2 linked regions of the Lepisosteus oculatus genome follow. The main gene of each other region encodes a partner of the protein of the gene in region 2 in a complex. Links are inferred from orthologs where the notes say so. Each region holds a gene or a part of one and is shown on either strand. Other genes may lie near its edges.

Region 1 (15,299 bases), about 6.3 Mb from region 2:
GAATTGGAAGCAATTACTACACAAGGACAATATTTTAAAAATGTTTAAATTTGTTCTGCTCCAGACTGTTTTAGTATCACATAAAGCTTCCACAGCACTCCATGTGGGACTAAAAGTGGGACTAAAACCAATCCACCAGAAATCACTAAATGAACTAGGTCTGTCGAGTGGATTCTCAGGACAATATAGTAAAGGATATCACGTGAAATTTAAAATACTGGGCACACTCAAGGGCGGACTGAAAAGCCATGCGGAACGGGGTAAAGCAGTTTCTTTTACTACTGAAAAGGCCCGGCTTTTCGTCACTCTAGATGTTACAATTCACTAAACGGTCACCAGCAAATCATTTCCATAATCTTGTCTTAAAGAAGCAAGCAGCTCTGAAATATTTTATTTTCTGGACAGGTTGGGATGTACGGTATCTTGAGCTCTTCTTCAGATGGGGTTTCCCAGTATTCCTGCTGGACACAATTAGCTTTAAGGTCCCTTGAGCCTTGCCCCCCCCCACAAGGCCTTAAAAAGGTTTGTAAAGGTTTGAAACTTTTCCATCATGAATTTTCAGACAATCTCCCCTCTGCCTCTACCACCTGTAACCAGTGTTAAAACTCAATGACAAAAATGATCACCAGTGGCATTGTGTCTTCTAAAATGCAGCAGCACAAGGCTGTGAGAAGGAGAAGACAAACTGAAAACAGCCTTTGAATGACAGAGAGCCTCTGTGGAATTATTCTTGGAACATCTCATATTTTTCCCTCCAAATTTCTTTCACTGATGTTTCCTCTGCTTCTGCCTCTGCCTAATCAGAGTCTGACCCTGAGTAATGTCAGTTTCATCAGTAACGTATCGGTGCAGAGATAGACAACTGCCAGAGATAAATGTGAGTTTTTATCTTTTTTTTACAAAACATGCACATTGTAAAAGGCAGATTTTTCCAACTCCTCCATTTAATTAGATCATTGTAATTGAACTGATTGTGGAAGAGTCTCACAGAGCTCTTTTTTCCTTATGAGTATCAGTAAAAGGGTGAAGATAAACAGTACCTAGGGGATTCTCATATTATTTCCGCAGTTGCTCGTTACAAGACCTATGACCGTAAGTAGGATTTTCAGTAAAATGGTAATAATCATCTAGTTTATGACAATTAGAAGCTGACTTTTTCATATTTTAGTCAGTTATTGATGAAAGATTTGGCTGGTAAAAATAAGTTTGATTATTATTAAGGGGTATTTATTATGATTTTTATTAAGTGACAGTTCTCAGGATATGAAATGAAAGAACCTTAGTTTTAGTTTAAAAACATAAGAATATTTAATTAATTATAAGAAGGAGTTGAGTGTCACCTTCATCAACATGGCTGGTTAATGAGTTCTGTAATACCATAGACCTGATTGGATAGCGGCTTCTCTTTTCGATTATACTATACAAAATCCTAAAAAATCTCTTTAGATTAATAGTGCATTTTTTGCTTTGTTTCTGTACTGTAACCTGCTAGGATACTTGTCACGTCATATGGCCCTGCCTTGCACCAGATGTTGTAGACTGCTGTATCCCTTTTTTTTATAAATATATCAATTTTATGTGTGTCACTTAACGAAACGTGGATCAAACTGTGGTTTGAATATTTTGAGACTGATCAGTCTGCTGTGTCATTAGTACCAGGCTGAAACCGACATTGACATGTCTTGTGCTTACCGTGCCCCCACTGAGGAGAGACAGCCCTCCTCCCTCAGTGTGTGTCCTGGTGACCTGACAGATCAGGCCTTCTGGAAGTGCAATCAGGCCCCGAAGGCAAGCAGTGGGCAGCCAGAGACCTGCAGCCCGGCACAGGGCCTGGCCTGCCCTCTCTTAACCCCCTCTGGATTGACATCCATCACAGCCTCACGCAGCAAGAGCCTACACCCTGCCTCTGTCCCCCTCTCTCCAGTAGGGTAGCCATACCCATGCCTTTCAAGAATGAGCACTGTACTTGCTGTCTTCCTGAAAAAAGGTGCACTTTGAGATGATATAAAATCTGTCCTGATGACATCATCTGTCAAAATTAAAGCTAAAACTGATAAACAAAGCTGCTTTCCACTATTAAAACTCTGGAGAAAACCGATGTTTGAAACATTTGCTTCCAGCTGGTTTCTTTCAGTTTGTCTGTTGAGCCTGACAAGACTCCACTACACAGAAACTAGATGTCAAAAATAAGCAGTACGTATGAAACCCAGACTTGACTTTAAAGCAGAGATGGAGAAAAGAGCAGTCTAGGAGCCTGTCAGCCAAGACACAAGGCTGTGTAGCGCTGGTCTGGAGTCAGGATTTGTACAGATGTATGTACAGTATATATAATGCAAGGTTGTGGGTATTGTTGTGTCGGAAGTGCCCGCTCTTTGTTGCCTATGTTTGCATGGATCTGTCATGCAGACTGTGTGGATTGTGGGACTTCCATGGAATGGGATTAAAAATAGTTTCTCTTTGGGGGGGGGGGGTCCACCTGGAATTGCCCCCTCCCTCGTCTAAACACACTACATTCCATTGGCCGAACAAGGAGGGGCTGCAGCCATAAAAGCACTGGTGGCATGTAGTGTGACATCTTGATCACATTTGTGTTGTCTTCACTTTCAGAACTGCACCTTGGCTCTATCAGCCGTGGTGTGGTGTTAATTTACCATGAAAACCCTGCACATAGTTTCTCCAGCGTCCAGCAGGACACCCGCTGGAGCTGATAGCAAAACTCCCCTGAAATGTTCAACAGAGAACGGAACTTGAAATGTTTCTCTTAGTAACTGGCTTCTCTGAACTTTCCAGATACTTTCATTGTGCATAAAGGCTATTTTTTATCCACATTTCCTATAACTCTTTACCATAAATCCTTTAAGATATTTTGAAATTACCAATACTTTCTCCTGACTTTGCAGTTGTTCTTTAGTCAGTTAGGAAAAACTGATTTCATTCATTGGTGGAGGTTCCTAGTGTATGAAGTATGAAGTATGACAAAAAGTGTATGTGAAATGATACTTGACCTGCAGTCCACTGGTCTTCTGTTGTCATAGGACAAATGAAAAAATATTTTACCTAGAAATCTGTCTGCATTACGTTTTCTCATTTTAATGTTTTCTTGATTTTCTTTTTCATATCACATGTCTAGCTTTTCCCAGGATACAGTTGATTGATAAGCTAACCCAATTAGATGTATTCATTTTACTCATCTTTTCTTCTCCATCTCTTAACAACATGGTCGGGTAGTTTTTTTCCATACTCTCACTACCCTTTACCCAGAGAGTTGTGGGAGTATGGAACAAACTACCCAGCCAGCCAGGCTAATGAAACGGACACTTTGGCGTTTTTCAAGAAACAGCTGGAAGAGATCCTTGGATCAATTAGCCACAAACTGCCAAAAGGACCAGATGGGTCGAATGGCCTTTCAGTTGTAACTGTTCTTACAGTCTCAGTTCAGCCTTATTTAGTTTTCCACGCCGATTCCACTCAAACACTGAAATGCGAAATGCCCTTGTTTTGAGTGGTAGCCAATCCAAGGCCGCCTAATTCTGAAGCCCTTGGTAAAATTAGTCTCCCATCTCCTTCCGCCATGCCAAAGATACAGAGGAACTAATCGGCACCACATCATCTCCAGTTCTTACATTCCACGTGGCCAGGTGGCCTGCAGCAATTATTTTTGTTACCGGCTTTTGGTTTTCGGTCCGACAGCAAACTCTAACTTGTTTTTTAAGAGTTCTGACAGAACACGCCTGATTGTGAAACCATTCGCACTTTAACAGCCCATTTGATCTTAATGATGTCTGAAATCAGAAAGTTCTTGAACCAGCCGATGTGGGCGCTGGGGCAGAGGGGTTTTAATGGTTACCGAAGAGGTCCACAGGAATATCCCAGACTGTACATAGGAACTGTTGCCGAGTTTTTATTCTCCTTTCAGATTAGCTTTTAACCAAAATAAAATGAGTGAAACGCTTTAGACAAAGATGTTAAGGAGCTGGGTTTTTTTTTCCAGAGCATTCACTGTCATGGAGCTGAATCAATTGTGATTCAATCGAGCATCTCTTCATGATAGGCTCAGTTTCTGTGCAGTCTGCGATTAGCACTGACATATCGTGAGGGTGGGAAATCTTTATTAGGGCTTATTTGCGCTGAGAATTGCTAGTGTTTGCTTCTGTTCGTTGTGTGTGAAAGTCTCTACCTCAGGAGCCCACCCCCACCCCCCCGCACACCCACCTTTGAGTGCTTTATGTGCTGTGGGTCGAAAAGAAAACCCATTTCCCATGTTAGTCATCCTGGACAGGTTAGCCATGGAGCAGCAGAGCGGCTGCTTTTGGGGTTAATGGGGAGCCCGGCCCGGCCTCAGGCTATGCAGAAGTGCTCAGCCATGGAGCATGAGTGTTGACTTTTGAATGGGCCATTAATATCGGGCCACTTCAAGAGAGAGAGAGAGAGAAAAAAAACCGTACACATCAAAAAAACAAAACTGGGGCTTTAAAAGAAAGCAATTCTTGAAAGAGGAAGAAGAGGCCAATGTGTAGGCCTCGAGTCTTGTTTGATTTCAGGGAATGCTTTCAGGACTTCCCAAGTGACTGGCAAATCCCCCTCCCCTACATACACCCTTTTTACCTCTCACTACTGTCATAAAATCAAAAGAACAAGGCCCTGTCACGGCCCTAACACTCCTCCCATCGAATGTGGTAGCAGTCAACATTGTGTGATGTGGGCCACCCACCCGTTTTTATAGAGAAAGGTAAAGGCACTACGTATCTATGAACTACTTATTAAAAAGGCGTCGGGAGTGCATTTGTTTTTCTGATCTATGCATCCATTCTTAATCTGCTTTTCCTGACGCGGGGCCATGGTGTCTTTTGTGATGTTTTGTTTTAAAATATATATATATATTGGTCTAACGCGTTTGATATCTCAGACTGCAAAACTAGCACTCATCCATAACTGAAGCAAAATCATTTTAATTGACGAGTTACCGCTTATCGGATATTATCTAAACGTTTACGCAATAGGGATTACTTCTGCCCTCTGGCGGACAATCTTTATTACTGCGTTTCTCACGAGTGCCTCGTTTACTTAAAGGAATTCTGATGACTAAGCAACTTCCCTTCACTGCATTATCATTGCTGTTTTGTTCACATCCCATTTTTTTTACATTTCTAATCAATTATCATGATAAATTTGTAAACAAAAGTGAAGACGTACTATTGTCAATGTATTCTCTGCTTTTCGCATTCAGAAGGTTAAAAAATATAAAAATTCCGTATGTTTGTCAATTAAAAATATAATAATGTATCCTGTACATATCAATATCTTAATTAGAACAAACATTAAATTTGGCAAGAAGTAAACGTCTTACTGCATAAGTGTATTTGTACAAAGCTACTTTTTAATTTGTATTGTGTTATTGTGCTATGTTAAATGCACATCTGTTAGTTATCCAAATAATTTCAAGCCACATTTAGGTTAGTTAGCGGCCTAGGGGCGGAGCAGCAGCTAGGTTAACAAAGTACGCGTGATCTAAAGGTTAATTTAATTACTTCTACATTACATGCTTTGCAGATCTAGAGTTGAGCTCAAGAGCCAGCTTTCAGCATTACACACATCGCCCAAGATTTGTTTGTTTTTTAATCCATGGAAAGAATATAGCGTTGCAATTTATTAGCAGTATTATTTTTTTGTTTTAAAATGACCGTAAAGACATTTAAAAAGGGGAGCCTATGGCGTTGTTGAATTTGCTGTAATTGCCTTTTCTGTCCCAGAGAGTAAAGACGCGCAATTTGTATGATTTGTAAAATAAGGTTCTTCAAAACAATTTATAAACTGTATTTTCAGTCATGTTTTTTTATAAAACGGTATCGGGGGAGGGGGAAGCTAGAATCAAAATGATGTGCAGTATTAAAACAAGGCTTTAGAATTGCTTTCATTGGTTTGTATTCATTACTCTTGGAGATAATAGTGAAAGTAAAATATCAAACTTATATTTTTTATTTGTGTTGGTGGGGAGTTGCACATCTGTTTCAGAGCTGATAAGAGTTTAGATTTCTTAAAATAATTGTAATTAAACTTAGCGGAGCTCTTTGCGTTTTCGTCTCCCGGGGGTATGTAGAAATTTTAATTTTATGATCCCTCTCATACCGTCATTCACGCGCTACAACGCTAGATGTATTTGCGCTTTTCATGTGTTCGCATAACCAGCTGAACAGCTGAAATCAGCAACAGTCACAAGTAACTCCGCAATGCCAGATAATAAAGATACAAGCCCTGTATTCTGTGCGAGAGAACGAAACTGGGAGTCCCAGTGTCCAGCCTTTCTTTACAAAGACGAGAAGAGATGGTACCTGCATGTTTGTCTTTCTTTGCAAATAGGTGTTTAATTAACTCGAGTACCTGCAAAGAGCAATTTGCATCTCGGGCATTGCAGTCTTTGGTATAATTGATTACCAGCGATCAGTCAAAAGTAGACTAACCGATGTCTTTCAATTTGAACACTCCGTCCTGAAGGACATTTAATGGGTGCTGAACAGTGCCAGCTTTAGTCGCTTTGGGGGTCAAAAATTACTTTTGTGGACCTTATAGGGTTGCGCTAAATTGACAGGCGTTCGTTACTTTTTTTCAGTCGGTGAAAAGATAGCTCTTCTCATTTAGGAAACAAAATGTTAATGGCAATTATAGGCTTTGATAAGATAAAGAAAAGATGGACAGCAGCGAACGAAGCAGGAGCTTCACATCGCAGGTTTACAGTAAACTTCATCCCTGCCAATCAGCTAGGCACAAGAGTCTAGGAGAATAGGATCTTAAAAAGACGAACTGGCCGGTTCTCAGGTCTGTATGAAAGGTAGTGGTGTTTTGTTCTCCGAAGTTGGTCCGCGCGGGTTCAGCCTTTTCAATTTAAGGAAGCTAGAAATTATTACCTGTGTTCACACAGTAGAATAGAACGAAATTCGCTACATACAACATATCACACTGAACGTGGCAAATCTAACTTTGAAAATATTGTTTATATAGGATTTTTTTTCAAAAGAATATAATATTACTCATAAATCCTCTGGTAAGTGTAAGGTTTGAAGATCCTTGTTTAAAACAGCAAAATGTATATATGGTGCTGCTTTAATTGTAAAGCTCGTGGATTCAAAAAAACATTTGAGCATACTTAATGATGGAAGTTCAGCTGTGCTGAATTCTTATGCAAGATATAATTTCTCATTTTTGAAAAAAAGTTGCAAAAATGGGAACAACCCCTCAGAAATTCATATAACTATTGCGGTATAAGTATTCTTAATAAATGCATTTAAATTTAATCGGCTTAATCGTTGTTTTGGTAAGGCTACAATACTATTGGCTTCTGGTTTTACGAGAATAATAGATATTAACGAGGGTAAAAAAGGCCGTTAAAAGCCACATCGCTCTGATTAAATCAACTTTGCAGCCCGTCATTTAGCTAGAGGAGTTATTAAACAAAACCGTCTGGGTTGGCTTGCAGTATTAAAAAAAAAACAACAATCATGGATACATTCATCATGACCTGAGCCATCATTTAAGAAGCAATGATAACTTTCCTTAATAAAATGGTAGTTTAAAGTTAATGTCGTTTTTCTTGAAAATATAAAGTCTCTCAATGAAAAAAATTAGAAAGTTGCATAATGTATCTTAATTTACCCTTGGCCCTCATACAGCGTTTCATTTTCCTTGACGTGAAGCATATGAACGCTATCGAGTTATTGAACGACAAAGCTTCTTTTCTACTCTTTGCCTGTCCTATAGATATAGACAAGCTACAAATTTGGATTAGCCTTATCAATAGTGAGTGGTATGGAATTAAGTCCTGATTACGAAGTGTGAGAGTACTAGTGTCAAAGACACTAGATTACACTGGATGGAAACTTTATATAATTGGGGATTTAGAATTGGGTCCTTTTCCCCTTAATGTGTTTTTAATAACCGTTCTCCTTGGATTGTTCTGCGTTTCTCGTATCATTTTGGAGCTCCAGCAAGCGTCTTAGAAAATGTGAAAAGACGAGGCGAGAACAGGGCAATTTAAATAGTTGAGAATGTGATATTCCTGGGGAGGCGTGAGTGTTGTTGTTTTTTAAAGCTGTAACGTTTGTAATCCCTTTAATACGTCTCACACATTTCTTTGGTAACGTCACCCCAATACACAAGTCGGCTTTATCAAAGTGTTTCTGCATCAACTGGGCATCATTATTTTCTTTTAAAAATCATCAGAACTTCATAATTACATGTACTTTTCTTTTTTGATACTTCAAACAAAATAGCTTACGCTTGTCAAGTTTTAAAGTCAGCCATATAAGATAAGGCTCGAAACGTGCCTTTTTTTCCCAAAGTTTTCAAATTAGGCTACATTTTTTTACTCCCGTTTGGAAGATTTTCCATTATTTAGGCTTATAGTCAAATGTATCGCCGTCGTAAAATATGTTATTTTATCTAGCGAACGTCCATCTAATCCCTCTGTCACACTCACAAAAAAGTGTATCTTTTCAGGTTTCATTTGAAAGCATTGACCTTTGTATTTTTTCGTTTTACCTACATGCGTTTTTTTTATTTTGGATATGTTATAGCTCCTCCCGTTTTCACTGAAGTGTTCGCTTTTGTCCAGGTGAAGGTATATTTTGATTGGGGGCAGCTATTGTTCTAGAGCGAAAGAAAAGGAGGCTGGTACGGAGGATCTTCCTACCATTTTAATCAGGGGTGCAGGCGTGAACAGGGGGTTGACATTGGAGACTGGAATGGGAGTAGAGGAGGGGATAGGGACTGGATAAGGACTCAGTCAAACACTGCTGCTCACAGAAGCAACATCACCCAGGGCTACTATTACCAAACGGGATTGCGAAAACTGCCACTACTGACCGACTTCAAGGAAAATCACTACAGGATCCTAACAAATTTATCAGGACAGTAGAAAAAGAAGTGATTCACCAAACAGAAACGCCTCGCCAAGGATTTTTCTCTGGGAAAGATTTTTTTTCAGTGTGGTCGTGACACGTAAAATACAGTACTTACTGCAACTAACTCTGGGGAAATACATTGGAGGTTTTTATATATGCGTATTTATTTCTTTTCTACGCTCTTCTCTGCATTTTCGGCATCAAGCGTTTCGTCCAGCTCTGAAAGGTGCTTCTGGTGGATACACGTTGTCCACGTTTTTTATTTATATATAATTTTAAATTATTGATATAAATTGACTTTGACGCTTTTATGAACAATCAACGTCCCATTCTGTCAATGAATTAAACCTGTTAGGGGGGAGAGAGTATAACATTGGATGATCCTTGTCTTAAAACGGATTATTTCTCCGCTGTCTTCAAAGACATTGATTTGATAGATATTTTCTTTTTTTCCTGTCACTCTTATCTTCTCAATTGTTCGTTTTTTGTGGGTTGCTGAAAATTATAATATTTCACCTTATTCTAACGCAAGGATTAAGAAGAAATAAAAATACTACGACAGTTGCCACTGGGCTGAACAGTATCTCCCTTCAGTTGTTTGTCAGATAAGAACCGCTATCTCCTGCAAAGGTACTGAGGGATTCTTGAACTATTTCAATTGCAGAAGGGGGCAAATTTGTCATATTTTAAATAATCTTCAAGGACAATCAGGCCATTCATTTGTTTCTACTATTTCAAAGCAACTTCAAAATGAGGATCATACCTTCAAGATTAAGCTACCTGTAAGTACATTTGCTTTATCCTTGATTTGTTTATAATGTTTCTGAAATGTTTTAAGTATTCAGCTATCTTCTTTTCTTCTCTTCCAGGATACTTCACCTCCTCGCTTTATGCTTCCATGCTCAGGTATGTCCCTACCAGACTCTGCTTTTTAATTATGTTTTAGAATATTGTATATGGATTGACTTTGTTCAGATGAAACGGTTGGAATTAAGATAAAGTAAAAGTCAATATATTATTTACGTTTGACTATAAATCACTTGAAACGTTTCATTAACTTTGTCAGAGTATATGTCTGAATACACAATATACTTTGGTATCAGAGCTGTCATCCGTGGAGGGCGTAAATATGGCATTTGTATTAAATTGTCATAATGACATCAGTGAATTATCAGCATATCGCTTTTCACGATATGTACAGTGAAACATGTTTCTAAGACGTCAGGTGATTCTCAACGAAAATAGTAATAAATATTGGAGTAAATATATATGTTTAAGGAAGTGCACTGTTATTCTAGAATATTAATGACGTGAATGTGTGTGCCTATATATATATATGTCTGCACACACATCTTGAAAACCCGTATAACTAGGAGAAAAAATGCGATTGCTAAAACAGATGGGACTGGCGTATGGCTGAAAAATTGACAGAGGATCGTTAAAAAATACGGCACAGGTAGAAAGAGAAGAGGGTGTAAGATAATTTTATTGGTAGGATAACAATATATCAGATGGAGATCCTACTGAGTGAGGACAGCGGTCTCGCCACATGCTGTACTCGTCACAAGCTGGCAGGCATTTCTCTAACCATATTGCCCCTCGTCTTAAAGGAGAAGCTAGGGCAGAAATAAATGTGCCAAGAGTAGGTTTGTGGAGAAGGTCAAGGGGGGACTATTAAGGCCAGTTTTCATTCACCAGTCCCCGTTGTTTCTTTAAAGCAGACCTCTCAATTTGACATGGGTTATTGGGAGTCCAGCTTGATATCTTCTCTATTCCTCGAGTTGACGTGAAAAGAGAATCACCCTTGAACATTTGCTCAAAATCCATGCAAAGTACACTGTTCTTGTAACAGGTTTAAAGATCAGCCGTATATACGGTGCTAATCTTCTGAGACAAACCGAGGTATCCTGCACACGGACTGCTAGTATAAATTCCTATTTCATATTTCCGGACAATACAATCTCGGTTACAGTGATTTTCTGTTTCCTATAAAAGTTTTCCACAAGACAATCCATATACAATGTCCTGTCTTTTGTCTTTGAACTGTTTTTATATTAAATGTACTTTAATTCTAAGATTTAGGTCATTATGTAGGGTACGCATGTATTTAAGGGCAATCTCTTTTAAGAATAAGAGTCAATTTGCTTAAATCCTTACACTTATAGTTGAAGAAAATATACATATCATTGTATATAGTTATTTTTTTTTTTGGGGGGGGGGGGGTGGTTCAGATATTCTTCAAGAGATATGTAAAGGTATGTTGTATATTTCTTTTCTTAATTTCTTAAAGGTAACCATTCAGTCCTCGCCTAATTTTACACAGCATGTGAGTGAACAAAGTAAGGTGACTGACCGGGTGAGCCGTAGGCTAATTCGGACCTACCAGCTGTACAGCCGGACGAGTGGCAAGCACGTGCAAGTTCTGGGGAACAAGAAAATCAATGCCATGGCAGAGGACGGCGACGCACACGGTAAGACCTCTGGTATTTCAAATACACAAATGACCCTGCACGGGGGAAGGGCCACCCAGAGATCACTCTCAAACATTTATGACTGAAACTTGCCATAGGTGAAGCAATAGAGGCTAATTGATTCAGCTTCATCAAATGTGGTTGTGAACACAGCGCGTGTTTTAATAACATGAGCCGCTGGAAAGTACATCTGTTTTGTCTAAGTCACTAGAAGTAAGGGGTTATTTTATTTGGACAATATAAACAGAGCGCTCATTCTTACGTTGAAAGTGCATTGGGCATATCATGCTAAAGGCAGGATCTAGTCATTTATACTTTATACCCTGTTTCCCTTGATTTGCCAGATTGTACGTGTTATTTCCGTATTATTCCTCATTTCTCATAATGTTGTATGTCTGGCATTAGTTCAATAAAACAATTAGAAATCTGCAAAATATGCATAATTGCAAACATTACACATTAAAGATCGGTATAAAATGTGTATAGGACAATTGGCTATATAACAAAAGGTGATAACAGGAAATTATATAAAGGTATACAATTCCTAATGCCTCACTTTACTAAAAATGAATGTGCCTGAGGTGTACTCTTTTAATGTATAGACATTTTTTTTATTATATATAATGATATCTTTTAAATTAGATAAGGCAATAGCTTAAATTTATGAATAATTATTGAACGCCAATAAAATAACAGAAGGCGTTAGAACATAAAGCATTTTTCTGGAGGGAAAATGAACCGTATTTCAGCTGTTGAAGTTGAAAAGAGGCCGCCGACTGCAGAAAATGTTAAAAACGGTTTCTAGATTATTCTGAATGCGATTCTCAAGAGAGAGCAGTATGTCTGGAAGAATCATTAGAACTCATCTTACTTTAACCTTCTGAACATTTCCTGACTAGCTTTCCCCCTTCTTCGGGCCAGTTTTAGGATCAAATATGTCTAGCCGCATTTTAACCTCTAGACTAACAGTCTTTTATACTTTTTATTAAAAGATTTTGTATACCTTGTAAGAAATGGAGGAAACAATCTAAACCGCCCAGCAGGTTCATTGCGCACGGGTCTTATAATTGGAATAACAAAAAGGGCTGACGTCTTGACCAGTTATGTTTAACTAATAAAAAGCTATGAAGACATTCCCATATGTACCCCTAACCTGATAAATTTATTACTCAGAGCGGTCTATGGTAGAGAAAAAAAATGTCACAGTTTGTTTTCCCAGTCACACTTTTTCGGGCGACCTGAATTTGCACACGTGCTGGACCATGGATGGCACATAAAATAATCACAATTAAAATCTGGCATTCACTTGATTCCACTCGAGTAAATATCTGAAATGTTGGCATTAGCGAAGGATACCCGTTAGCTCGGCGGTCATCACCGCCCAAGTTAAGCGTGAAACATAAATTCAGTTACCAGTAGTTGTGACACCGTTTTGATGTAGCATTTAATTGTAAATGTGTGCTGCTGGCTGGTTCATTTACATTTAAGTGTGTTAATATTGACAATAAATGCAACGATAATAATTATCATAATAAGAAACACACCCGTTTACTTTAAGAACAATCTGGACGAGGGCTGATACGGCAGAAACGATTGCGGGTTTAAATTTTCTGTAGGTTTTCGGTGTTAAGCGAAGGCCACTTCCTAAGCATGATCTCCCCATGCAGTCAGTAAAAATCAATACTCTTTAGACCTTTTACTGCCTACGTGATTGATTTTCCTGCCGTTCCTAGATAGAATTAAGGGACATTTTCTCACTTATTCAATTAAAAAGCTGGCCCTCGCGCTGGTAATAAACATGCTAATAATATTTACAAAGGGTTTTCTCAACAACCCCAAACAGGAAATAAAAAATAAAATTTTAATTGTGCTCATTTTAATGAAAAACACATCAGCTTTGTAGAGGACATATATGTAAAATACTTCTAGAATATATTCTTACCAATTTCCTTGCCTTTTGCATTTATTATTGATCATTCAAATTTACCCTAGCATAGTCTTTGTAAGCATTTTGAAATCAATACTCACTTAAAAATGTGTTTTTATAATGGCGCCGATTGGTAGTTTGGGTGTGTGTTCTTCCATATGACTGCAATATAAATGAGATTATGAATCAGAGTTAATTTTTCTCTGCTGCATGTTTAAAGAGTTGCATCATCAAAGAACTCCTCTAGTTTGTCCATCCACACACTGTGGTGTGTTTTGGTCTGCAGGGATTGCTGGCACTTTAGAGTTGGAGGCTTTGAATAAGAGTGCAAGCAAGTTGGCTAATGAAGCTGAAATCTCATATTCCCTATTGTATCTGTTTTGGGTGAAAACTACAGTCAGGTATTGTTAAAGTTTACCCGGTGCGTTTTTGGCAATGGCAGCATCGTGTGTCTCCCTTCACACAATATAGAAAATAATCAATGGGAATCTTAAATGATCCTTGTGTAAGAAATGACCCAGATTTGGACATGGGTGGTCTGGCGGAACGCATACGATGTCGCCAGACCTTTTGTGGAGGTTAGAAAGGTGAATGTGTCCTCAGATTGAAGTGGCAACTTGAGGCGGCGCGGGTTCTTCTGAAAGGGAGAAAGAGGAAAAAGCCAGAGATCCAGCAGGAAAATTCCAAATTACTCCAAAAAGATCCGAGGTAATCGGGTCGGCCTAGTGACTGACCCACCCCCCTTTGCCCTTATGTTTTGAAGCGCCATTGATTGGGAATTTGCATTTCTTTTGTTTGCAACTCAATCAATGGCTCCATTAAAAACTGAGACTAAATCAATAGCTTCTCTTGACTTGTATAGACAAAAAGGTGAAGCACACTTAGACGGGTTTTTCTTTCCTGGCCTGCATGTCATTTGCGACTGTTGCAAATGACAAGTTGCTGAAGGCGTAGGCCAGATCCACTCTGCCGGCCTGTCTCTCCTTCTGGGTTTGTCAGGAGAGGAAGAGAGGGTATTTCCAGAGACTGGACCCCCTCTCAGGTGGACAGTTTGTCCTCTAGGTAGCATTTTGAGAATCATAGGACAGGCAGAAATGTCTTTTCTCCCCATACTTCTCTCTGAATAAAACAGTCTTCGGTAAATAAACAAGTACAAGGGTGAGCACCTGCTGTCTGTAAAGCATTGAATGAATCATTTTATTTTCACTTGTGTTTAATCTTTATTTAACCAGCAGGCTCCCATTGGAGATTAGAATCTCTTATTTCAGGGAGGATCTGGTCTTGAAGGTCATTCAATTAACAAAGATGCATCGCTCCATTATTAACAAAAGCAAGGTAGTGACATCTCTCAATTAAAGTTTAGAATTATCAGGCAAACCCAGAACAATATCTCGTCTGACAATGACTTACAAGAGCTGAAACTCTAAATGACAAAATAAAATCACAAGTTTTTGGTCTCCATTAGGGTCTGATAAAGAGCTTTATTTCCTGTAACAAATCTAAAATCTAAAAATCCCTACTCCTAGCACAGTTTCAGATTATATTTAATACTATAATGACATCTTTTTCACAGCTAATTTATACACAAAATAAACAGCATTTCTGTTTCCATTGTATAGGTTTTCCAATATAAGTTTTGGATAATGAAATATTACCTGATTTCGAGTTGTATTATTAATTTTAAATGTCTCTAGAACAGAATACTACTCATGTGAAGTGTAACATTTTGGGTATTTGCTGTAGAAATATCACTACTGTTTTTCAAGATCTTTTTTTTTCAGAGAGCATCAATTTAAGCTTAAAGTTGGATGTTTGATAAATTTCGGCATACATTTTTCAGTATTCTTTAAAACAGATCAATTGACTCTAATCAAGTTTTTTTATTGTGATAAATTCACAACAAAACTACACTCAGAAAGCAAAGTGTAATCATCATTTCTTCATAGGTTTAAAAATCAGTAGTTTTTAAAGGAAAACAGCTTATGGTATGTAGTAATTATAAAGGCC
Region 2 (15,299 bases):
TTAAAGCTATGTATGACCTTCTGCTCCTTTCTGACTCAAACCATGCTTGGTCTATGGTGTTAAGACAAGCTGTGCAATGTTCATGCAGTCTAGGTTTAGGGCTTAGAGGATAATGTTACCAGTTTGCTAACATTTCTGCACAAATTAGTTCATGAGTTCTGAGCAGTGGTCAAAACATTTAACCCTTAATCACCTTTTTACAAAACATGTGTTTTTCCTTACTGGCCTCAGAGCAGCAACTTTCTGCATCACTCTTACCTCGTGCATCAAGTTATGACATGGGTTTAGTCACACTTGAAATTCTGAAAGAAAGAAACACAGATGTATTAGCATTTGAGCGTTTGTTACCTCTGGAGCAGCATTTGATTTTCAGACAGCTGTAATGCACGCTTGTCCCTCTGTGAAGCTGATACCATTCCATAATTTAAAACGTAACAAATAGGAGCCGTTCTGACTGCTCAAGAAAGAAAAAAGCTTTTGAACTTGAAGGGGAAAACAGCCATGTGTCGTAATAAATTGGCAGGATGTGGTATTAACTACTTACTTTCCTTTCAGCTGAGGCCTTTGGGCTTCAGTACTGCACTGTACACTATTCCTGAAATCTGCATATTGACAGAATATAAAGAAAAGGGACCAGAGCTTTTATGGATTATATCTTCTCCTGCATGCGTGGAACAACAGAAAAACAGCTTTCACAAAAAAGGGCATTTCACCTATTGTATCTCACTTCTAAATATGCTCCTTTACTCACAGAATAATCTAGTGAATAATGCTGTGGACACTAAATTATATAAATAATTGGAAAATCATCTTGATAAGGTTTTTGGATCAATACACTACACAGAACCAAATGAGCAAGAAGGGGCAAACAATCTATTATCTTAACACAGGATCTAACTTGTTTTCTGGGGATTCCACTCTATTGCTTAGTAGATTATTCCTGTTGTATTGCGCTCCACAGTCCCATGAAAAAGATAAAGTAAAAAAAATAAAATGTAATTCTGAGTCAAACTTCAAAAGTTAGATGTCGGGTTATGTTGAAGAAATTGAATAGGAGGGAGATTTCAGTGCTAAGAGGGCGAGAGCTGGATGTGGCTTTTATAAATGTACTGAGGACTCTCCTGCTATGACAGGCTGGGCTCACAGGCTCCTCCTTTAGGACACTCACTGTTATTAAGGGTATGCCCAGCATTTCCAGGATATGGGATATCGTAGTCAGCTGTGGGCACTGGAAAAGCCTGTATCTTCTTGGACAATAAATGAGATGTAATCCAGCTACCATTCTCAAGGGAACAACAATCTAGACCTGGAGGTGGGGAGGTGTATGTGGAGAGGACAATATCAGAAACCTAACCTGCATGTATCTGGGGCATGGAAGGAAACTGGACCCGTGAGAATACTGTACATGTGAACATGGGGAGAACATGCATACACCACGCATGTAGGCACTGCAGACCACGGGCAGCAATGCCAAACACTGTGGCATGTTAAGCATGACACCAGAAACCAGATGGGTCGATGGGCCTCCTCCTTTTGTCGAGATGGGCTGAATGGCTTCCTCTGATTTGTAACCTTTCTGAAAACCATTACCAAGACAACAAAGGATCAGGCAGCACATAGAACACCTGCTGTTCTTTAGTCCTTGCTCAATTTTTTAGGCATGAAAAAATTGTTGTGTTATGTTGTGCAGTTTGTTGTGTTTAAATGTATTCTCTAGTGTGCTTGTAGCTAAAGGGACCTGGATAAACTGGCACAGTTGTATGCTCTGGTATGGACCTCCCCTTTTTTAATGCCTACTCATTGTGACACCCTGTGAAAATAAATTATTGTGCTTTTTCAGAACAACACAGTTTGAATAAAAGGCAAAGTTCTTTTGTCTTTGATGTTTACTTCAATAAACAAAAAAAAAGATTAATTTTTAAAACTAGTTTAGACATCTAAAAAACATACTACTGTATGTATTTCTCTGTCAAGTTGTGTGGAACATTTGATAAATGTAACTTTGCAGTTCTTTTTTTTACTGGTATCTGGTGTCTGTTTTGAAGGAAATGGTGATTTACATAATCACAATTCACATTCTCTTTTAAATGAAGTTGAATTTGGAATAGTACAGAAAGGACTTCAAAGCCTTGTGGCTTTATGGAGATGTTTCCGGAAGAGAAGAAACAGCTTCTTTGCATGCCCAACCTCCCACACCTTTCATTTATGGTAATAATTGCCTTTATTTGCCTAGCAAATGATGTTTTTCCATAAAAGACACTGAATATCTTTTAATGTAATTTAAATGATCTGCAGGTGTGCAATGTATAACTGTTGCCACATTATTTAAAATGAAAAAAAAAATTACATTTCCTCAGAACAGTTAACAACGTAGCAGCACCTTAATTAAGATTTGACTTATAATGAAGCAGACAGTTATAGTGTTTATATCTAGAGTCAGACATTTAATAGATTCACTGATAAGAATGAGTCAGCTGGACAGTCTTCAAGGACTCCCTTTTTTATTTGGAGATAGCTGTCTGTGGCGTTAATTGACAGCACTAGTGTTTACCAGGATATAGATTATTTTTATTCACCATGTTTTCACAGACTGTTATTCTTCTTCTTATTATTATTATTATTATCATCTGTACACCAAAGTTCTTGGTGAAACAACAATTGTATTTTATTTATATCACTTTAGTCTCAATATTTAACTTTACTTCCTGCTTAGATCATCAGAAAGGCGCAGACTATGAAGCAGCGGTCAGCAGAAATGGCTAACAGACAGAACTGACCTGGCTTTTACGGCTCCTCATTAGTGCTGTGTCATCGTGTCACAGAAAAGACATAAATTTAATGGTGCCTTTTGCTGGGCTGTGTTTGTGTCTTATGAGTGTGCAGCCATGTCTGTGGGTACAGGTGTACAATAAATGTGTGCATGAATGCAACTGCGATCTCATGTAAGCACATCACTGTAGTGTATCACAGTAACGGCACTGTACGGAAGTGTAGTAGGCCATACCAAACGTAAGGCAAAGAAACAGCTGCACAAACAGTTGGAAACTACGGAAAAAGTAAATGTGAATGCATAGTAGACAGAAAAACATAAAGCTATTGGCACTTCGCAAATTTACCATACTAACATTTCATGAGGCATGCAGAGCCTGAGCGTTAAACCAACCTGATCTAATGAAACTATACAATGAGAAAAGGGAATGCAAATAAGACATAAAATAAAAAAGTAATAACGCATAAAATTAATACTGCAGTTTGGTAACAATGTCACAGTCTCATCCACAAATTCTAAACTTGTGATATTAATTTTCTAACAGTATAGAAACAAATCTGCTGCCACTGATGGGTTGCCTGTGTTGCCAATGGGCCTCAGTAAGGAGCCTGCAGATTCTCAGGAGGTAATACTGAGTGTCCTTTACCGAGAGCTGAACCATGACTAACGGGAGTACTGTGAGAGCAGGATAAGGTGCCAATTGGTCACCGTTGTTAGCACCTAGAAAATGCATTCAGTTTTCAGGCAGTGGCTTCAGCCATTGACACGCGAAGAGAAGGCTCTTTCACGACCTCTTCTGCGGGAGAGATGAAGCTGTTTTCAGGCAGGCTGAGGGGAGAAATGCCGGATTTGCATAAGAAGGTTGATGTCATCCATTTTGCGGGCTCATGTTTTATGCAGCAGAACTTGTTTTTGTCTGTGTCATTAGCAGGCACAGGGGATTCACTGAAAGCCCATTTCAATGAGAAACGTTTTGGATTTTTTGTCCTGTTTTCATAAATCTCATAGCCACTAATGTCCATGTCATTGCAGTTTTAGTACATCTCACCAAGTTCCTTGTATAGTTTATGGAATATTAAGCATATTTTGGTAAGACTTCACGATAATATGTGGCTCGTCATGATTAATTCAGATTGAATAAAGGAAACAATACAACAGTGGGATCATGAACACAGGCTATGTAGTTTTAGCAGTTTTTTTAAATAAAAAAACATCTTCTTTTCTAGAACATATTGTACTTATTCCCCAATGTCTAAATAAAAATGCAGGGATATTTTATTGTACATGGGGCTTTTGGCATATCCTGACACTAATACTTTAATACCAACTAACATTATCCTCAAATGAACTCTAACATAAACCAGTGCAAACTCAGACTCAGTTTTTTCCAGACAGAGTTCTTGTGAGAACATTCTACTTGTTTTAGGAAGATTTATTGAACTGGATCCATGTTTCCTGTTCGCATTTACCAGATCAAATCTTTTTGACATACTGTCAGGTGTGCTTCATCATTAACATCATTTCTTCCTCTCCATACATCTATTAAGCTAAATGGCTACTTTCTGTGCTACAGAATACATAGCTATAAACTGTTAGCTTGAAACATAATGACAACATATTTCACCTGAAGATCAACACAGAACAGTTTTCTTGGATAGAGAAGAAAGATCATTGAGGGCAAAGGTCAAAACAATAAAGGATGTCGAAGAATGTGTGGATGTATGTTTTATTTCTCTTTGCCACACCAATGTCATCTTTTGTTAGATTTGTGCCTTTAAACAATTTTGATGACTTTCAGAGAATGAGAAACAAATTTTAATCTGGAGTAAAGAGCTTTGAAAATGTCCCTGTTGAGTCTCTTTTTTTATTGTCCAGACAGAGTGCTGGATGTTCATGCCTTCCAAACATTAATGTACAGTACTGTACATGTACAGGGAAAGGGGAACCTATATGGTTCACATTAAACTCCTCCATTTGTTTTAAATTTAATGCAGGAAATGAATCACTGCCTTTATAGTGCTGATGGTTTAATTATAACATGAAGAAATACGATGGAAATTTTCACCAGGTAGTGTTTTTGGTTTGTTTCTCCTCTCCTGTCATCTGAAGCAGACCCAGTGCAGATCTGTAGGGGCTACCAATCAGCAATTTGACCCTCATCACCCCACCCCCTGAGAAAAAGGAAAACAGCAGTAGTAACTTACACTCTACTGATAGGAATGCATATAAAACATCTCCTAGACGCTACTGACATACTTCTTGCTATTCAAACGGCCACAAAAAAGAATGAGCTGTCAAATATAAAGTACCCATCCCCATACAGAGATCCTATTGAATCCACCAGTCAAACATTTGCTTAAATAAATGAATAGATTCCTCTGTGTCTAAATGAATGTGCTAAGCAATACGTATCATTTTTTTGTGAAGGAAAGTGGAACACTGCGTAACTGACCAGAATGAAAGCATGCAGAGTACATACTTTCGGTACCGGCATTCACTGAGTTGCTGCAGAGGGTAGGAATTATTCTATAGAGATCATCCACTCACTCTCTACAGTTTTTCTCACTGGGTTTAATGACATTGAGCCTGAGACAGACACCATTCTGGACACTGTTTAGGAGTCTACGCCAGGACACCCCTAGGTAAGAACATGTTGAGGTGTCTGTGATTTTGTTCCCGATCAAAGTATATGGAAAGTGTGACTATGCCATTACCAAACCAAAAAACACTCAATTTTAAAGTTCCTTGTTTTTTTTTTTCATATCCTACTTGGCTTGGGAAAATCTTAATTTGGAAACACAATTCTGACTCTCTTAGAAGTTTGCAACACTGGGATTGCCTTGCGAAGTAAAGACAACCTGGGAATCTGCACATTGGCAGGCCATCTCCTTTACAAGTATAAGCTGATAGAAGCAGAGCAATGGGTAGTAAACTGAATCTCAGAACAGCACAGCAAAGTAAATGCCCCATAATAAACACACTGACAAAACTTCAATAAGGGATGCTCTGAGAGTTGTCTGGAGGAAAAAAAATAGTGTATACTTATTGTAAAATACTTGAACGTCTACTTAAAAACAGGAAAACTACATAAGCAAATTAGAACATACAGTATAAACTTAAAAAGAAGCTTAAATGTACATAATTATCTGTATGTTTTATGAATTGGTGGGTTGGGTTGGAGAATTCTAGACCTTTCACTAATCCGTAGCTAAAGTGCTCCACTCCCTAGGAGAACTGCATGTAATAATGAGGAGAGCCCAGATACTGGATAACTGGGTAACTCCATCATCATAGGTGGCTCAAAGCTGCCTGATCAAATACGTCAATTAGACATCTCTGCAAAAAATAACTAATATGTGTGATGAAAATAGTAATGCAACCAACATCTACATACAAAAGACTGTTTGCTGGAACAGATATCAGATTTTCTCTCCTTGTGCAGGATTTCTTTTCCATCATTTCACATTTCGTTTTTTGCTTTTGTACTCTGTGTGTATAAATTGCTATGGTGTTTTAAATATCGACTTTTAAGACCTAAAAGCAAACAGGGAAACCGCTGAATTGCTTCTGCATTTTCAGGAAGCTGAGTTTTCTTTTGCATTTCAGAAGAATTGGAAAATGGGGAGGCTGGGAATAAGATGCTGTTCCTTCACAAAAGTGAGCCTCCTTGATTTTGAAGCTTTCTGTCTTGCTTGAAAAGGACTGCAAGGTGTTTCTCATCCTGCCGTATTGTCTGCAGGACAGGGGCTGAGGCAGGGCCGTGCTGTGCAATCTGTGTAGAGCCATGGCACATTATGACCTCTTATTTTCCCTGGAGAGCTCTGGTCTTCCAGTGTCGCTCTGCAGTCGAATTAGGAGAGTGCCACTGAAAGAAAGGACATTTCAATGGCTTCTGGACAAACTGGGGACAGCTCCAGACTTAGTAGAGGGGGTAAGAGAAGGAGGGGGTAAATGAAACTCAGCTGGGGGTATGGGAGCCATTGAATGGTAGCCTTGTCCCTCTTTTATTTCCCTGGAAACCTGGAGTTATTGTTCCCCTCCCAGCCCAAACTGTCACCTTTAGTCCTTGATGGCTTTACTGCGCTGTCCTGCAAGGCTCTGTGGAGAGAGGCCTATTGGCCCATTCATACCACACCCCAAGGATTCATTAATAGGCTTATTAGCTACCCCATTCACAGCCAGTGGGGACTGGTTTTTAAGAGGCTCCAGCTACTTTCACAGAAAAAAAAACTGTGAAGAGATTACCCCCCCATCCTTCTCTCCCTTTCAATCCATTGAAAAGAACAAAACTGATGTGAAAGGCAGCTAGGTCCTGCTGAGATAGTTTGGGGCCCTGGATACATTTAGGTATGTTTTTTTTCTACCATTTTTGTGATCCTGAGTACGCTAGTGCTGTGACGGTCTGATAACAGGTGGCCACAAACCCTGGTTGTCACTGTTGTGATGACAGCTCTTTGGGAAAAATAATGTCTGTGAACAGTCCCTGATTGTTTGGCTCTTAAAGGTAATTATTGGACAAGGCAGGGATGCAAGAACACGTAGTCCTGCTGAACTCTAGAAATAATAACCAGCACTAACTGCAAGACTAATAATTTAGAGAACTTGTATTACTGGGCTGCTTGGCTCACTTCCTGCTGTCTATAAAAGCTACCCCATGATATTATCTGGAAATTCTTGGGGGTGAGAAATCATCACATCATGAACTGAAGTTTCAGCACATTTGGTCTTAAAAAAGAAAACTTAGAAATCAAGCGTTAGTCGCGTTAACTCGTGGTCCGGAGACAAGAATAAAACCCTTCAATCGGCACACTATTACTTGGGTCGTTACTTCGAAGAGTTAACTTTATTGCCTGCCTCTCTGTAGCTATTATTCAGTCCGCTTGGAGGCGTTGTTAAGAACGAGAGGCTCCTAATGAAGTTGGGCTCCCGGACCCAGAGAACTTCACAATCGCCGGGCTGTGAGCTTGCAGCGTATTGGGCTCAGCTAACAGAGCCGGAGAGACCGGTGAAGTGATTTGATTGGCGAAGGCGGGCTGAGTAAGAAAGCTGCCCAGGAAACATCTCAGGTTACAGGGGGAGTGACCCTAGACCGAGCCGGAGGAGGGGGCTCGTAGAGTCAGTGATGGTGGTGGGGGGGACGCAAGAAAAAAAACCTTTGTAAACCTGACAAAGCTTTTGAGATTAGAGCAAGGTTTCTTGAAGAAGGCATACAAAACACAAGAATCGTAATTTAATGGATTTGCTCACTTTTTGGAGGTTTCATAGCGTCGCCTTTTACATCAGGATCCGTCTTTTTAGTTCTTTCATCTGAGTTTGCAGAGCTGGAAAAGAATTTATTGTTATTTTTTGCTGTTGATAAGTATTTTTTTAAAGAAAAAAAGTGGTGAAGCAACAGAGAAGAAAGTTTTCCTGGACCTCACTCGGAACTGCAGTTGTCTTCGGGGAAATATATATATATACAGGGTTACTCCGGATTTCTTGAAGGGTCATGCTTGCACTGTTCCACGGCTATCGGATTTTCCAGTTCTTCGGTGCTGTTGTGGAGAGCGCGGTGACGGCGAAGTTGGAGTAGTAAAGCGCAGTCTGGCATTTTTGTAGCGGGGAGCTGTCCCGGTGGGAGTTCACACGCATTCCTCGCTTTGATTCGGCTCATGCACACGCCTGCTGCACAGTGCATGAGGATCGGCTTCTCCAAGGCTCTTAAACGCTCAAGGTAACTATCGCTGGACCCATCGCTTGTTGAAGATGCCCAGAATAGTTGTGCGAGTAAATCTCGTGCCAAAGTAAAGATGCTTTAGCATCCTTCGTGCTGTTTGCACATGTTACCTCCGCGTGCATGACTGTTGTTTTCTTTTATTTTTGGCATGATTTTACACTTAACTCGTAACAACGTTTGAATTAGGTTTCCTGCGTACCTGTTCTGGAAGTATATGACTGAACTTTTCCCAATGGCCCTCGTTCTTTGCCAATATTTTAATAGAAATCTCATTTTTGTGTATTATTATTTTAATACTCATTATTAACATTGATTCGTGTTTATACAGTTCTCATTTCAGTGGGTTTTGTTCGGTTTTATTGAATAAAATTCAGACTTTGCTTTGGAAAGCGATAATGCATGTTTTGTAGCAATTCTCTGATAATACTCAGATATTAATTGCAATACAACTTCACTTGCAGTATTTCATTTGGGTTCTCAGAAGATGATTTGGCTGTGTTGTTATGTCCATATAACACTAATATTGAGGCGTGAAAGTGTTATTTCAAATGAAGAACCCTAGAAGTCACTAAAATATTTCATTCTTTAAAGCAAAACGTAATTTTATTGTAACGATTATAGAAGATACAGTTGCCTGATGTTGATGCCTGAGTTGAGTGATGGCCGTAAATCTCCGCGACTGACAAGCGTTTTCATTGTGAATCTGATTTGAATTTCAATAGAATGCAATCAGCGCTTGAGAACTTCACTTAGCAATCTCAATACAAATGTAGATTCTCCAAGACGCAATTACTGCAGCCTATTCAGTGCGAGCGCAGCGTCTTCCAGCTGGAAGATTATGCGATGTTTGGTTCTAAACGAGAAAAGTATTTATTGCACGCTACAAAAAAGTCAACGAAACAAAAATACGTGAATTATTAAAATAAGTATCATGCTCAGTATCTATCTGATCGAAAACCTGGTCTCGAATTAAGATGCGTAAAAATGTCATACAATTTAAAGTGAATAAAATTAGTAAATGATGTCAAGAAGTCCTGTATGACATCGATTGACTGAAACTGTAGTCTAGTGATCCTTAAAAAGTGAGATAAACTCCACTGTTACCGTGAGGTTATTCCTATCTGAAAACACTCCTGGAAAACACTATCTGAATGGATTTCTTCAGTTTGTATTATTTTTAATATATAGTATCCTCAGTATAACTTTTTGATATGTTGTTTGGTATTTTCGATTTGTCCATAAACGTGAAGAGCTACCGATTTTGACCATCGGGTTTTTAAAATAAAACGTCCTGTTATTTGTATTTCGTATTTTTACTACGATTATTTAAAACGCGTTGTAGCAAATAATGTAGGAAATGCGGTTTCATTGCCGATGTACTCCGAGAGGATTTATATCTGAGTTGTGGGGCTAGATAATGGATCATTAAAGGGATAATAATGACATTTAAATTATAAATGCTAAATCAAGAAAGTTGAAAGTAGAATTAAATTATTCACGGCAGTCCCCTCTCCTAGGAGAAAGCGAAAGATGCGGAACACGATTCAGTTTGTGTTGGAAATAATGTTACTTAATAAAACCACAATTCATATCGTTATTTCCACGCGGACTGATAGTATTTGTGTTGTGATAAATGGGACCTTTGTTGGCTGTCGGAATGGAGAGCAGTGTGCCCCTCTCTGATCCACTGACCGGTCCGTCACAGCGGTTACAGTTTCTGGAGTACTGGGCGCTGCGGTCCCCGCTGGCACCGACTTCATTTTTCCAGCATTGACGGTGGTACAATTTCTGTTTGAAGTGGCTGCATTTGAAACGGGTTGAACTCCAAATTTCTTCAGTTTGTAGGGCTTTGTTATGTAAAATAACCATTAAAGTATAGACCAAAAACATCTGTGAAAATTCTCTTATTCTAAACATTCAATCTCCAGACATATTTTCGTGCTTTCATGTTGCTGTTGTAACAGACTGTTTTAATTGCCAGATACGGAAAAAACCTCGTTAAGTATTTTCTTCGGGAGGTACTGCGTCTACTGTAGTAATTCATAGTATTTTCCAGGATAATAATCCATTAGAAATAGTTTATTAATACATAAAACTCTCTTTCAAATACATTCATTCTCATGTTTTCAAGTGTGTACCGTATTTTTTCTGAAATTAATAGAAAACCAATAGAAAATTGACTATATTAGAAAAAGATTATTTTTACACTTATTTTCTCGTCAGAAATTCAAAATGGATTTTAAAATGATTTTGAGGGAAGGGAAACAAAACCCAAATGATCTTTAACACAATTAAATGAGAGTCTGGCCAAATTATTCTAAAAGTTGAAAAGAGGCTTCATTTGCAATGCCGTTTGTAAATCCTTAGGTATGATTGTGGTCTGGCTTGTTTTGCAGCATTTCAAATCACTGTCCCATTTTTGAGACTTGAGGTTTTGCTGCCTATTACTTACAATGTATCAGTGTCACATGCTTTCAGTTTGTGTCAGAAGAGTGTAATTCAGTTTCACAAGAAAGCAGAGGCAGCAGAGCCATAGCGTAGGAACTCAAGTGCTGCCCGTTGAAGAGTTTCAAACTTGCTCGCAGGTGTTGGTAGAGACTTGGTACAGATTTGAAACATAATTGGGTTCTCCTGCATTGTAGGAGATGGTAGCTGTTGTCCAGCTCCCCTCTTGGGGACAGTCCAGGACTGGAAACGGGCATTTAAAGACAATCTGCTGGAGGCTAATTCTCTCCCTGTCTTTCTTTCTCCCTCTCTCTCTCTGCCTCTGCATCGAACAGTGCTACAGACACTAGCGCTGGTGGAGAAAGGATTGAGTGCCCGTGTTTCATGATTCCACAGAGGTCCTCAGATGGGATCTGTGTCCGGGTGGAGATCCACAGGAGCATGGGGAATCTCCGCTAGCAGGATGTCCACGTGGGCTTGCCTACTGTACCTGGCTCTGGTGTCAATGGCAACTGTCTCCTTGGCACGACCACCGTTCAACACTGAGGAGGAAACCACACTGGAACCCGAAGGTGAGCAGGTGTACTTCTGTGGCATTGCAACACACTGGCAGCTGTGTTCAGTGACAGTTGTATTTCATTCTTTTTGGTGGGGGGAGGTGGAAAACTGGTTAACTGGCACAGAGATACCATTGCTCTTTATTGAAAAAGCCACAGATTGTTTTATAAATAAGACTCAGAGTCATCTGAATGACCAGGTGATACATTTCAAGTACTTATACTCTTGGTGTTACTAGGCTTGTGGTAAAGATAGGTGTTTTGTTTATTGTATTTATTGTTTTGACTTTTGATATGAAAATGCATCAGTGGTTTTGGAATACTTTTCTTAGGATAAGTTACTTATTCTACAGTGAGATAAGGCAGAAATGAGAATTACATACAAACCTCATTTAACTCAGAACGTTTCCCCCTCTTTTCTAACACTCACATATGCATATATAAGGGGTCTGTCATCAGTTAAGAAAGATTGGAGGCTGTCTGGCTCACCAAGTGTAATCTGAGAATGAAAGAGAAAGGCAAGACCCTCATCGCTGGCTAATGATGTTCTGAATTGATAGCCCACCTGATGGTCTGCTGACCTCTGGCTGCCCAGGCTGGTGCTCAGGGCTGGTCAGCAGGTCATCAGAGGTTAAAGTAGTGAGACAGTGTGGGACTAAAGCAGACCGAGTGAGGCTAGCTTCTTTTAGTTGACAGAGCTTTTCCACTGTTCCAGCTGGTGAAAACAATCTAACTGTTTTAGCCTGTAAACAAGCAATGTACTCTATTCTAGATCAAGGCAAACAGCAGCCACACACACTCCTATTTCCCTTCAGGATCAATAAAGTCTTATCTGTCTATCTCACACCTTCACTCCGACTGTACAACAGAGAGAAACATGCTACAGGAAAGAGAAAGACAATCCCTACAGGCAACCAGGCTGTGTTCACAATGGTTTTCCAGAGCTTATTTCTAGAATTATTTTTTAGTTCTTTATATGACTTGCAAAGAGGGATGAGAGAGTTGTTGGAAGTGAACGTTAAAGGCACTTTTCAGAAGGAATACAATTATTCTGGTGAAAGCTGGAATAATTTTGTACAATTCACTAGTCAATGTTCACTCTCTCTAGGGTTGTGTGGTTAAATTTGTACTTCGCTATAGAACGAGAAAAGCCTGAAAATAAAGAGGAGAAAGCTTGTAAATGGTTTTAATTTCAATGTTATTTATGTACATTTCTTTTATCAAAGTAAAATCAAAATAGGAAGCCTTTTATTTGTTTATTATAAATGTTTCTGCTCGGTTAAACTTTTGTGCTCTTTGTTCTGACCTTGCTTGTTAAGAAAGCAGTTGTTCTATTTTTGTAACAGGAAAGCTGGATTTGATTTGAAAGTTTATCCTACAGTGTATGGAGAATGTTTTCCTTAATTTATTCTTTTTACCTATGTTTCTCATACATCACAATTTGTTAGCTGGGTTTTTTGTTTATTAGCGTTTTTATGAAAAAATAAGAAAAGCTATACTTTTCCAGAGTGCTGAATAATAAGTTCGAATTCCTTTTCATTTTATGTGAAGCTATGACATTTCTGTCATGTTCTAATATTATTTCAGAATTGTTTTTTTTAACTTGGTTGTTTTCTTATAAATCAATGAGAAAAGCTCATCAGCACCTATTGTCATCTCCAGCAGTGGTGCCCTTATCCTGATAGTGCTGTGTGTTATAGAATTGGGCTGTGTGTAATTTTCAGTTTTAATTTTTTTAAAGAAAAAATCCTTCTGCAATTCCAGTGAGAGTTCCTTTTCCAAAAAATATAAATTCTAATTCTGATAAACTTTGCACTGTGACTTCATAGGCAGTGGTATGAGAATCGCTGGGGAATTTGGAAAAGAGTCCAGTCTTGGTTGGTTTGCTCTGTAGTCGGCGTTTCCTCCAGATTGGGGCTGTCTGTAATACATAGGATCCAAAACATAGACTTGAATTCCATTATGTTTAGTGGTTTCAGGACTTCCTTTTCTGAAGTAAACTCACAACAAGCATGTGCAAATGATCTTGTTGCTTTCTCAGTGCTTCATCGGGTTGTGGGTTCAAATCCCAGGTGAGATGTTGCTGAGGTAGTTTATTCAGTAAAATGCTTTAAATACTAGTCAGCTAAATATAAAATATATATAAAAATAAATACTGGGTTAATATTTTTTGACCTGCAAATACTTTTAATGCTGGCACTATGGAGTAGTGTGGAGTGGTTCTGAGCATATCGGCACTTGTGGAATCTGCAGGAGAGAGGCCGTGGTGCAGGAATCTGCCTCTAATGGTGTCTCTGCAGACAGACAGGCTGGCAGTACGTTGTCAGTACAGCACTATGCTCAGCTGTTGCAGTGAAAATTACACCCCTGAACTGAAAGCTTGCAGTCTTCTGCTTTCACAAAGGAGTTCTGTAATCCTGTCCTGCACTATTTTCCCCTGTGTTGTACTCATTATACAGCTGCAGAGTCTTAAATGTCTTTGTGAATATTGAAATAATTATGTGACCTAGACATTAGAATGTCCCAGTAGTGTGAACGATTGGGTCAAGCTCAAGGATGCATGACTTTCTTGAGGGAGCAGTAAAACATAGCTTAACATACACATGTGGCAAGCTCAAATGTAAGCTCATATTCTCATTTTTCTTGCAATCAAATCTGGAAGAAGAGTCCTATAGAGTTTTTTTTAATTTTATGTTGTTCATTTTGTACATTGTCTTAACACGTACTTTTGTCAAGACATGTACCTTTGGCATAGCCTGTGTTACATTGCTGACTCCTTGCATACCTGCATAGAAGCATAGATCACACTGACCCCCCAGGGTGGAGTTCTGCTGGGAAATAGTAGCTGTAGAGTGATGTCACCTGAAAAAAACATGTCATGCAGAACACACCCCACTGCACACTCCAGCTTCCGCATTGCTCAGCTTATAATGCTTAGACAAGCTAAACTTTTTGTTCAACAATGTTGATTAGTATATTTATGCATGTGGGAGGTTTTCTTCTGCAAGTTGTACTTGTCTTTTAATGTAGTAAATTATGGGGAAATGGTTTAGTGAATCTGCAATGAAATATTGTACATTAGCTGCTCGCTGAGATTTTCCGGCTGGAGCTTTTGGGCTGTATGAAGATCTAGAAGGAATGCTCTTGATTCCTTTGTGTATGAAAGTTAGAAAAGGCTGAGTATTTTTTTTTGTGTGTGGAATAAGGGGGGGCCTGTCAGCACAGTGGTGTTGTGGTTAGCATTGCTGCCTTACAGCATTGGTGCCCTGGGTTCAATTCCTGGGGTGCTGTCAGTGTGGAGTTTGTGTGTTCTCCTGTGTTTGTATGTGATTCCTCTAGATCCTACGGTTGCTTCCTGCACTCCAAAGATAGAGTTGGAAGGTTAACTGACTTCTCAGAAACTTGGCCCGTGTGTGTGGTCTGCAGTGGAGTAGCTTCCTGCCCAGTTTACCCTGCCTTTTGCCCATTGCTTGCCTTGGCTCTCCCATGACCCTGTATTGGATAAAAAGGTTAGAAAATGGATGGATGGCAGGCCTGTATAGACAGACACATATGGAAGCCCAGGTTGTTTATAAAAAGCTATGAAATTGGGGTTTATACCTGGGAAATTTCTTCTACAAAATTAGACAAAATACAGAGCAGTGTATAGTACCGGTGCAGCTCAGTAGTGCCTGACTGTTCTTTTTCCCTTGAGAGAACTTGCTCTTCTGGGGAAAAACACCCAGGAAAAGCAAGCTGCAGCATGGTTAAACAGTCTGCTGCCCTCTGACTCCTCTTCAGTTGGTGCTGATGAGGACAGACAGGCCTCTCC

What was found.
Region 1: the proteins of fgfr2 (region 2) and fibroblast growth factor 8 are in contact, whole or in part, in a crystal structure (PDB 2FDB), measured with the Homo sapiens proteins. The link is inferred for Lepisosteus oculatus from reciprocal best matches to the Homo sapiens genes FGFR2 and FGF8. Residues at the interface, in NP_000132.3 of Homo sapiens: Glu160, Lys161, Glu163, Lys164, Leu166, His167, Ala168, Val169, Pro170, Asn173, Asp247, Val249, Arg251, Ser252, Ser282, Asp283, Ala284, Gln285, Pro286, His287, Ile288, Gln289, Ile291, His293, Leu309, Val311, Leu312, Lys313, Ala314, Ala315; in NP_149354.1 of Homo sapiens: His53, Val54, Gln57, Asp62, Leu64, Ser65, Arg66, Leu68, Ile69, Arg70, Tyr72, Tyr75, Arg77, Gly80, His82, Val106, Glu107, Thr108, Thr110, Phe111, Gly112, Ser113, Val115, Thr148, Glu149, Ile150, Val151, Leu152, Glu153, Asn154.

What each region holds. Positions count from the first base shown.
Region 1 is NC_090699.1:35,819,654-35,834,952, forward strand, and holds the start of fibroblast growth factor 8, read left to right. Parts: upstream 1-8,559; 5' UTR 8,560-9,644; coding exon 9,645-9,676; intron 9,677-9,763; coding exon 9,764-9,800; intron 9,801-11,184; coding exon 11,185-11,365; intron 11,366-15,299. UniProt on the Homo sapiens protein: Plays an important role in the regulation of embryonic development, cell proliferation, cell differentiation and cell migration. Required for normal brain, eye, ear and limb development during embryogenesis.
Region 2 is NC_090699.1:29,541,878-29,557,176, reverse strand, and holds the start of fgfr2 (fibroblast growth factor receptor 2), read left to right. Parts: upstream 1-7,708; 5' UTR 7,709-8,421; coding exon 8,422-8,483; intron 8,484-11,266; exon of another isoform or gene 11,267-11,327; coding exon 11,328-11,503; intron 11,504-15,299. UniProt on the Homo sapiens protein: Tyrosine-protein kinase that acts as a cell-surface receptor for fibroblast growth factors and plays an essential role in the regulation of cell proliferation, differentiation, migration and apoptosis, and in the regulation of embryonic development.